Drosophila melanogaster: one gene and its partner. The protein of the gene in region 1 interacts with the protein of each later gene in a pairwise test. Each region holds a gene or a part of one and is shown on either strand. Other genes may lie near its edges. The genes, in order: dnk and CG9933.

Region 1 (4,249 bases):
GGAATGCCCTATATGCCTCCACTGATGAACCCCATGATGGGCATGCGTCCGCCACCGATTATGAATCCCATGGCCATGATGGGACCACCGCCTCCACTGGGCACTATACCCGGCGTCCGTCCAGGAATCATGAACGGACCCAAGTGAACGCCCTCAGGAACGGCATCAACGTTCACAGCACAGATGGAGTGCTCTCCTTGCGATGTCCTAATTAAGCTGTAGCATTTAAGTAAGCCCGATAGCGAAAACAATTAATTATATACATTTATATAAAGCAAGTTGACTCAACAAATGGTTGTCTTTGTGGGTGGAAGTCAATAGAGAAATAAAGTATATATATTTAGGTCAGTAATGAGAAGCGCATGCAGTCACATTAGAGTTCAGCAGGCATAAGATCACGCCGCTTTTACGGTGCACACATTATTATGACTTTAAAAAACCCCGCTTCAGAAAAAGATAACAAAAATCAATGCTAGAGAAGGCATTTAATGATTTCATTGTCCAACACAATATAGTTAAAATGCAAGTGAACTGAAATGCTAACACAAAAATAGTAGGTGCCTTGCCTTTAACATAAACATTCACAGTTTTTATTACAATATTTTGAGCTTACATACTAGTTGCTGTGAAGAGAATATAATGTGGATTATAATTGTTAATATACGAATGTGTTAATCATTGGCTCGAAGTGTAAGTTTCTGCCTTTGTCCCGCGAATCGGCTCGTCTAGGCCTCTTATAATATTATTTTAAACGTCTGTACTACACACAATTAGGTACTAATGGGATAATGGTTATCTGGCGACCCTCTGGCGCTTGCTGGGCGACACCAGAACCGGCGAGGGCTGTTGGTTACTTGAGATGGCGTCGAATATGCTGCTCTCCGAGCGCTGGTACTCGGTGCCAATGTTTTCCAGGTTCAGATCGGCATCGAGGACTAGGACCTGAGGAAAAATGCATATTTAGCGGCTTCGGTAGATGTGAGCTTGTGTAGAAACTACCTTGCACGACTGCGGTCGTCTCTGGTGTATCAACCAGTCCTCGTGCAACTCATGCAGCTCCTGAAGGTACTTAAGCGGCACGCAGCTCTCCTCAGAACGAGCCCGCTGCCGGATGCGTTCGTACGCCACCTCCGGCGAGGTGCGCAGATATATGATGAGGTCCGCCTGCACGTGAATGGACTCTTCGATGAACTTGTACCACTCCTCCAGCGTATTGTACATGCCCTGCTCCAGCGAGCCGTTTCGTCGCATGTTCTCCACGAAGCAATAGCTGCGGCGCGATGGGTAATGGATAAGTTTCGTTTAGCGTTTCTGGTCAAACCGGACGACGGGAATAATGCACTCACCGAGCGCTAAAAATGGAGCGCTCCATTATTTTTAGCTTCTTGTTGGTTGGGGCGGTGTGCGACTGCAGCATGGTCAGCGTGACATAACTCTGAAAGGGCATGGCCCACTTCTTGGGATCTTTGTACATCAGCTCCAGCAGATTTACCCCGTTGACGTTGCGCCACTTCTCGACGGGCTCGGTCAGCAGGCAAATGTCGTTCTTGTACTTCTCGAAGTGGTTCAAATACGTGGTCTTCCCGCTGCCGATGTTGCCCTCGATGAGGACGGTGAAGGGCTGGGTGCCCTCGGCGTACTTGGTCCCCTTTCGGGCACAGGATGCTGCCTCCGCCATCAGTCCGGATAATCGGCGATCTGCACGTGAGATTGGGAGTTTTACTAACTGTTTTAGGTACAGCACAGCAGCAACGGATCGCGGTTGAAGTTGATTGTTCCGGATTCGATGGAGTACTGTACACGGCGGCGGGAATATGGTGACTGATTCAACCCGCCTGGTCAGATCGTTTACCGCCGAAAAACAAAAAGAGCGGGAACATCGCCATTTGTTTCTTTTTTTTTTAATCGGTGTTACCTATCGTTATGCTTGTTTTTGTCAACCGGCTGATCGGTAACTGTGTGTGTGTGTGTGTGTGTGTCTATTCTATTGCCGGTAATGTTTTTACATACATCTTTACAAAAACTTAAAGTTTAAGCCAATGCTGGTTGAATTACCTATTAATGATATAATGTTTTTCTGCCACATGTGCTTGCTGGACATTGCTGTTTTTACAAATTTATTAAATACAAATACCACTGATAGCAATAAAATTAAACATTTATTGCTCACAACTTTTATGGCCTCTTATTTATTTTATTTAACGTTGTGAAATGAATTTTCTTTTTGCCTATACTGAGAATCAGCTGTCGGCGATAACGATAACGGTCAGCTGTTCTGTGCATAGTATCTGTTTTTCGCCATCCCTACGACGACGCATTTTTTATCAATATTATTGTACATTTTTATAAACCTGTATTAAAACTTATTTTTAAAAGGAATCTTAAACCGGGAAATTAGTTTACGATGTCCATAGAAATCGAATCAGCGGAGTAAGTACTGTAAATCGACCAACACCACTCAGTTTTTACTAGATCCGTGATTTCCCCCCCAAACAAAGTGTGATTCGGCTCATCCAGCAGTATCTGAAGGAGTCCAACCTTATGAAGACCCTGCAAACGTTACAGGTTAGTACTTACACACCGCGGAGAGAGTTTGTCTTTCAATGATCTTAAACTTTCAGGAGGAAACGGGTGTCTCCCTGAATACGGTGGACAGCGTGGATGGCTTTGTGCAGGATATCTCCAACGGGCACTGGGACACCGTGCTAAAAGTGACCCAGTCTCTCAAATTACCGGATAAGAAGCTGCTCAATCTATACGAGCAAATAGTCTTGGAGCTGATCGAGCTCAGAGAACTGGGCGCAGCAAGATCTCTGCTCCGCCAGACGGATCCCATGACCATGTTGAAGCAGCAGGAGCCCGAACGATACATCCATTTGGGTAAAATATAAGCCATTCTAAGGTTTCACTAGAGTTCGTGATTCCTAATTGGTATATTTGTCTGTAGAAAACATGCTGCAGCGCGCTTACTTCGATCCCAGGGAAGCCTATGCAGAGGGAAGTAGCAAGGAAAAGCGGCGCACGGTCATTGCCCAAGAGCTAAGTGGCGAGGTGCATGTGGTGCCCTCCTCCAGGCTCTTGGCACTCCTGGGACAGGCTCTTAAATGGCAACAGCACCAGGGACTCCTTCCGCCCGGCACCACCATTGATTTGTTCCGCGGCAAGGCGGCGATGAAGGACCAGGAAGAAGAAATGTATCCCACCCAGCTGTTCCGACAAATCAAATTTGGCCAAAAGTCGCACGTTGAGTGCGCTCAGTTCTCGCCGGATGGTCAGTATCTGATAACGGGCAGTGTGGACGGTTTCCTTGAGGTGTGGAACTTTACCACCGGCAAGGTGAGAAAGGATCTGAAGTACCAGGCGCAGGACCAGTTCATGATGATGGAACAGGCGGTGCTGGCGTTGAACTTCTCACGAGATTCCGAGATGGTGGCATCGGGCGCACAGGATGGCCAAATCAAGGTGTGGCGCATCATCACCGGTCAGTGTTTGCGTAAATTCGAGAAAGCCCACACCAAGGGAATAACCTGTCTGCAGTTCTCGCGAGATAACAGCCAGGTACTCAGCGCATCCTTCGACTACACGGTGAGACTGCACGGGCTGAAGTCGGGAAAGATGCTGAAGGAGTTCAAGGGGCATTCCTCCTTTGTGAACGAAGCCACCTTTACGCCTGACGGACACAGCGTGCTCAGCGCATCTTCCGACGGCACAGTAAAGGTTTGGTCCCTTAAAACGACCGAGTGCGTGGCCACGTACAAGCCCCTTGGCAACGAGTTGGCCGTAAACACAGTCCTCATTCTGCCCAAGAATCCCGAACACTTCATTGTCTGCAACAGATCCAATACGGTTGTCATTATGAACATGCAGGGCCAGATTGTGCGATCCTTCTCGTCGGGTAAGCGCGAGGGCGGTGCCTTTATCTCAGCCACTCTTTCGCCGCGAGGAGAGTTCATATACTGCGCTGGAGAGGATCAGGTGCTTTACTGTTTCTCCGTCTCCTCCGGTAAACTTGAACGTACTTTGAACGTAAGCTGCTCTTTAAACTATTTGTTTTCAAACTGACTTTAAACGTGATATTTATTCCATAGGTTCATGAAAAGGACGTCATTGGCCTGACACATCATCCGCATCAAAATCTACTGGCCAGCTACAGTGAGGACGGCCTGCTGAAGCTTTGGAAGCCTTAGACCATATAAGCAATTGACTTTCACACCTAGTTAGTTTTAGTTGGTGGTCTTATTTGAGCTGC
Region 2 (4,400 bases), on another chromosome or scaffold:
TATTCGCACTTACCTGACTCTACGGACCGACTTTCACCTGCTGCAAAACGTATTGGTTGTGCTACGGCCCGTAACTATTGCATTTTACGGAACTCTATATGGTTTCGACAATTCACCCGAACAATTCCACGTCTGGTGGTGACCACGCAAAAAATTTCTCTTTTGTTCTGCGAGCTTCGTGGGGATTGGTTATCGGCCCTCGGCTGGCTATATCTATGTGGGGATCGCCCGAATGCGATCCGTATATCGACACAAATGCTTCACTGGCCAGGCGATGGGCTCAAGAAATACAGACCTCCGAACTTTCCTCCAATTGAATTACTTATAATTTTTGGGTTTCGCGTCAGTCGACGAACAGTGTTTCAGTTTGGTCTGGTGGCCGACAGTCACACTGGCCGCGGCGTGGTCACACTTAAAGATGGAATGTTCGCCGATAGTTGCTTTAACCCTTGCAGGGCCCTCATATTTTTATGATTTCATTATCGAATTTAAAATTTCGTTAAACATCCGAAAAGTTGTGAATCATTTGAATACTATTTGTAATTTTAAATTTGCACTTTTGTTTTTGCCTTTAATTGCAATAATGTTCTCTAAGCATCTATACCCAATTTATATATCCTTTTTGCTCTAAGAGAACTAGTTTGAAAATATCTGAAACTATTGTTTGTTTGTCGTTTGAAAATATTTAAATATCGCTGAATTACTAGGTGCGAACTGATTAACGATGGGAAATCAAAAATTAGGCCTACCAAAATGGTTATATTCCTCATGACACATAATGAAAAGCAAGTGTTGTTTAGTTATTTTTGTTCAACAAAAGAAAATCATTTACTTCATTTTACAAAAATGTTACAATTATGTGGAACCTAATTATGAACCTAATACCTAAGTAACCGCTACTAGAAATCCGTGTATCGCTGTCGCAGACTCTGCCTTTTGGCAACGTGATGCATCTGCAAAACACAAGCATTTGAATTACAAACTGGCATTATATGTGGTTTTAATTAGGATAAGGACTAACCAAGCGCTGCTGACGTCGTTCTCGATTCATTTCGTAGGCCTTGAGCAGCGAGGGGCACGTGCGCTTGATGAACTCCTCCGATTGCCAGAAGAGTCCGCCTTGGTTCTCGTAGCGCAGAAGGAATTCAACCTGCAAGGATATTAAGGTTATTAAATGATACCTACAATTGGGATAGAGGGCAAACTACATAAGATTCAGACTGTTTAAAAGTTTTCCTTCGCTTTACAAAGTAAAGAAAGCTGATCTTTGGCTTATTTATTTTGTAAAAGCAAAAGTCATATAGCAAACCTTTTCCAGCTTAGAATTTTTGTTTACTAAATATGATATGAATAAACCAACAATGTGTTGTAAATGAAACTGTAATCGAATTCATAGAAAATTTGTGAACCCTAAACCGTACTGATAGTTTATTGCTTTCGTATTGCAAACGTACCTTTCCCGCCTTGGTCTCCTTGCCCAGAATGCGTTCAATGCCATTCTCGGGCTTGATGCGTCTGAAGAAGTCCTCGTCGTTGTACTCGGTGACCACCTCCTCGCCGACTTCGTTTAGCATATCCTCGATGCTGAGCAGTCCATCCTGCAGCCGCTCGCCGTTCTGTTCGACGCGCTGCACGTATGTCAACGGGTGCTGCTTGAGGTAATCCTCCGCCTCGGCGATTGTCTTGGCCAGATCGAACTCCTCCTCCGCCTCCTCCTGCTCATCGTCATCGTTGTCCTCGTACTCACCGTCCAGCTCCATGCCATCACAGTTAGCGCCGCTGGGCGAGGAGGTTCGTTTGGTATGCATGGAGCGTCGCTTTCTTTTCATCCAGTTCCCGCCGTCGTTTTCCTTGACGTCCGGATGGAAGCGTACCTTCTTCACGCGCACGGACGACGAGGCGGAATCTGTTGTTTCGGGGGTGGACTGGCTGGGTGTCTGCTGCGACTCCAGCATGCTGCCGCTGATGCTACTAGAGGCGGACGTGGGTGTTGATGTGGATGTGGATGCTGATACGGAGGCGCCGGTGCTCTCCGCCAGCGTGGTTTCCTTGAGGTTCTGTGATATAAGCTTGACTTTCGTCTCGAAGGCAGTGCATGGAGATGTGGGCGATTTGCTGGCCGGATGTTCTGGTGGGGATTGACTGCTCTGCGGACTGTCGCCCTCGCCGCACGACCCCGCCGCAGCTTCAGTCTTGTGATCCGTCTGCTTGCCGGCTCCCTCCATCGAACCGGATTCCTTGTTAATCGATTCCGCAGCGGAATCCCTGCTGCAGTTGTCCAGATCTCCGACTGTGGAGTCTCCGTCGCCCGTCGTCGTTGTCTCCACCATCACACACTTGATTTGCATAGATTTGTCCAGCGAGTCACTGCCAGCCGAGTCATCATTGGACTTGGTATCCATGTGTTTGGGTGGCTCCGTGTTCTCTGCGTTGGCTCTCTATCGTTTTGCGGCTCTGCTAAAGTTCAATTTTAGCTAAATGCATCGCAATTCATTTGTAATCTTTCAACAAAACGGCTTTCTCAGTGTTACCGTACCGACAACTATGAAATATACCCTCAAATTTGCGTAGCTGACTTGGCAGCGATTGTGAAACGATTGGAATTGCAACAGGGAGCTAAATAGTATATATGATTTTATATTTTCTTTGGCTCTTTTGATTATTTGGAGAGTTATTATTTAAGTATCTCAGTAAGAGTAATCTGGAATAGCATTGCATATCCCTTTTTGATTATTATTATTTTTTCTTTAATTAAAAGAAAAAGAGTAAAATAATCTTTTGTTCCACATTCAATCGTTTCACAGAGTTGCCGTATCTTGAAAGTCACTTTTAAATTGATATACCGCTATACCGTTACGCAGGCTACCTTTCAAATTAAAATTCCGTTAAAAAAGAATGCTTGATTTTGATGTTTGATTTCAGTAAAGAAAAAAGAAAAATGTTGAAGTGCTTTCAATTTAATAGAAGTCAATGAACTATTTTGCATTATGATTTGAATTTTTAGAAACTACTTTTGGCGTTTAGATCTGAACCCAATTATTCGATTTCTTTTTTAAATAGAAGTACCAAACATACAGATAATCGGTCAATTGTAAATGCAACTTGTGTTGTTTTTATTTGATTTCTTTATTAACAATTGTTTTTGTACATTTTCTCTTTTGTAATTCAATGCCGTAAATCTTATTGTGTGTTTGTGTGGTGTGTGTAAGTGTTGCGTGTGGTTGTGTGCGCAGTAAACAAAACTAAGTTATTTACACTAGCTTTAAGTTTAAATGTAGTTCAATGTTAAGGACTATTTAATATATAATATATTGTGTGTATAGATATTCGTATCGATATAAGATGTATATATGCATATCAAAGGCGGTTTGCATTTATATCCAAGTTAGATTCTGTATACATATCGCTTGTTTGCGCTATATCTTCTGGTTTTGATTTGCTTTGTTTTCAAATGTTTCCTTGCATTAAGTTTAAACTATTTAAATATGGCCCCGCTATTCCACATGTGTTCTTTTTGTTTGCTTATAGTTTAATGATAACATTTTGTTTGTAGTGTTAACGCCTACACTGTGCTACAAAGACGCCGTTTGCTGGAAAACATTCGCACTAATGATGAGAACATAACTAATCCGTAGTAGAAACTAATTACTATTAACTAATTTTAAATGTGTGCTGCACTTGTACAAAATAATATTGCAAATATTGCAAAAAATTCCCTATTCTCTGTTGATTTTTCAATTGCATTTTAAATGTGTTTCTTTTTGTTTCTATAGTTTTTATTTTTGCAGCAGCTGTGTGTAAATATATATATATGTATAGATTTATATAGTATGTATATAGTACCATATTCATTGCATGATATACGCGCTCACTTTCTTATTTCTTTTTTTTTTTGCATTTACAATTATCAATAATCACAGTTCCCATTCGAAAAATTAAACGAATTATTTGTAGCAAGACATAATTTTGAATTTATCTCTTTTTCTCCTGTACAAAGTTGATTTCCTTGAAACGCTTTTGGATCTTGCTCGGATTGGGTTGGTTTTCCAATTTAATATATTAAGCCGATGGTAAATATATATATATAGGTTCTATATTAAAATGCCTTCTATAGTTATCTCTTTGATAAGTTACAATACGATTAGTTTAAATTACATTTTGCACCGTTCTAGCAAGTAATTACATTAAGAATTCCGGCTTATCCCATTTGCAAAGTATTCGAATAATGGTATTTCATTCCTTTTTTGTTTATAAATTATCGTTACTTAATTACCTTAGGTTCTAGAAAAAACGTAAAAGTGCAGGAACATGTTCCAACTAGGTGTGTATAAGTGGGTGTGTGTTAGTGACAATAGAAATCCCAAAACAGGTGCCTAAAACGAATCCCCAACTCCACTAAC

What was found.
Region 2: the proteins of dnk (region 1) and CG9933 interact in a two-hybrid assay, tested with the Drosophila melanogaster proteins (one large-scale study listed by BioGRID).

Annotation. Positions count from the first base shown.
Region 1 is NT_033777.3:18,979,001-18,983,249, reverse strand, and holds dnk (deoxyribonucleoside kinase), read right to left. Parts: upstream 2,256-4,249; 5' UTR 2,056-2,255; intron 1,994-2,055; exon of another isoform or gene 1,926-1,993; intron 1,827-1,925; exon of another isoform or gene 1,699-1,826; 5' UTR 1,679-1,698; coding exon 1,347-1,678; intron 1,271-1,346; coding exon 1,000-1,270; intron 943-999; coding exon 793-942; 3' UTR 501-792; downstream 1-500. Other genes in the region: snRNP-U1-C (small ribonucleoprotein particle U1 subunit C), read left to right, coding at 1-147; Smu1 spliceosomal factor, read left to right, coding at 2,405-2,430, 2,499-2,565, 2,622-2,880, 2,948-4,026, 4,089-4,187. UniProt on the Drosophila melanogaster protein: Deoxyribonucleoside kinase that has a broad specificity phosphorylating thymidine, 2'-deoxyriboadenosine, 2'-deoxyribocytidine and 2'-deoxyriboguanosine. Specificity is higher for pyrimidine nucleosides.
Region 2 is NT_033779.5:13,018,777-13,023,176, forward strand, and holds CG9933 (uncharacterized protein), read right to left. Parts: upstream 2,537-4,400; 5' UTR 2,403-2,536; coding exon 1,455-2,402; intron 1,151-1,454; coding exon 1,022-1,150; intron 954-1,021; coding exon 900-953; 3' UTR 799-899; downstream 1-798.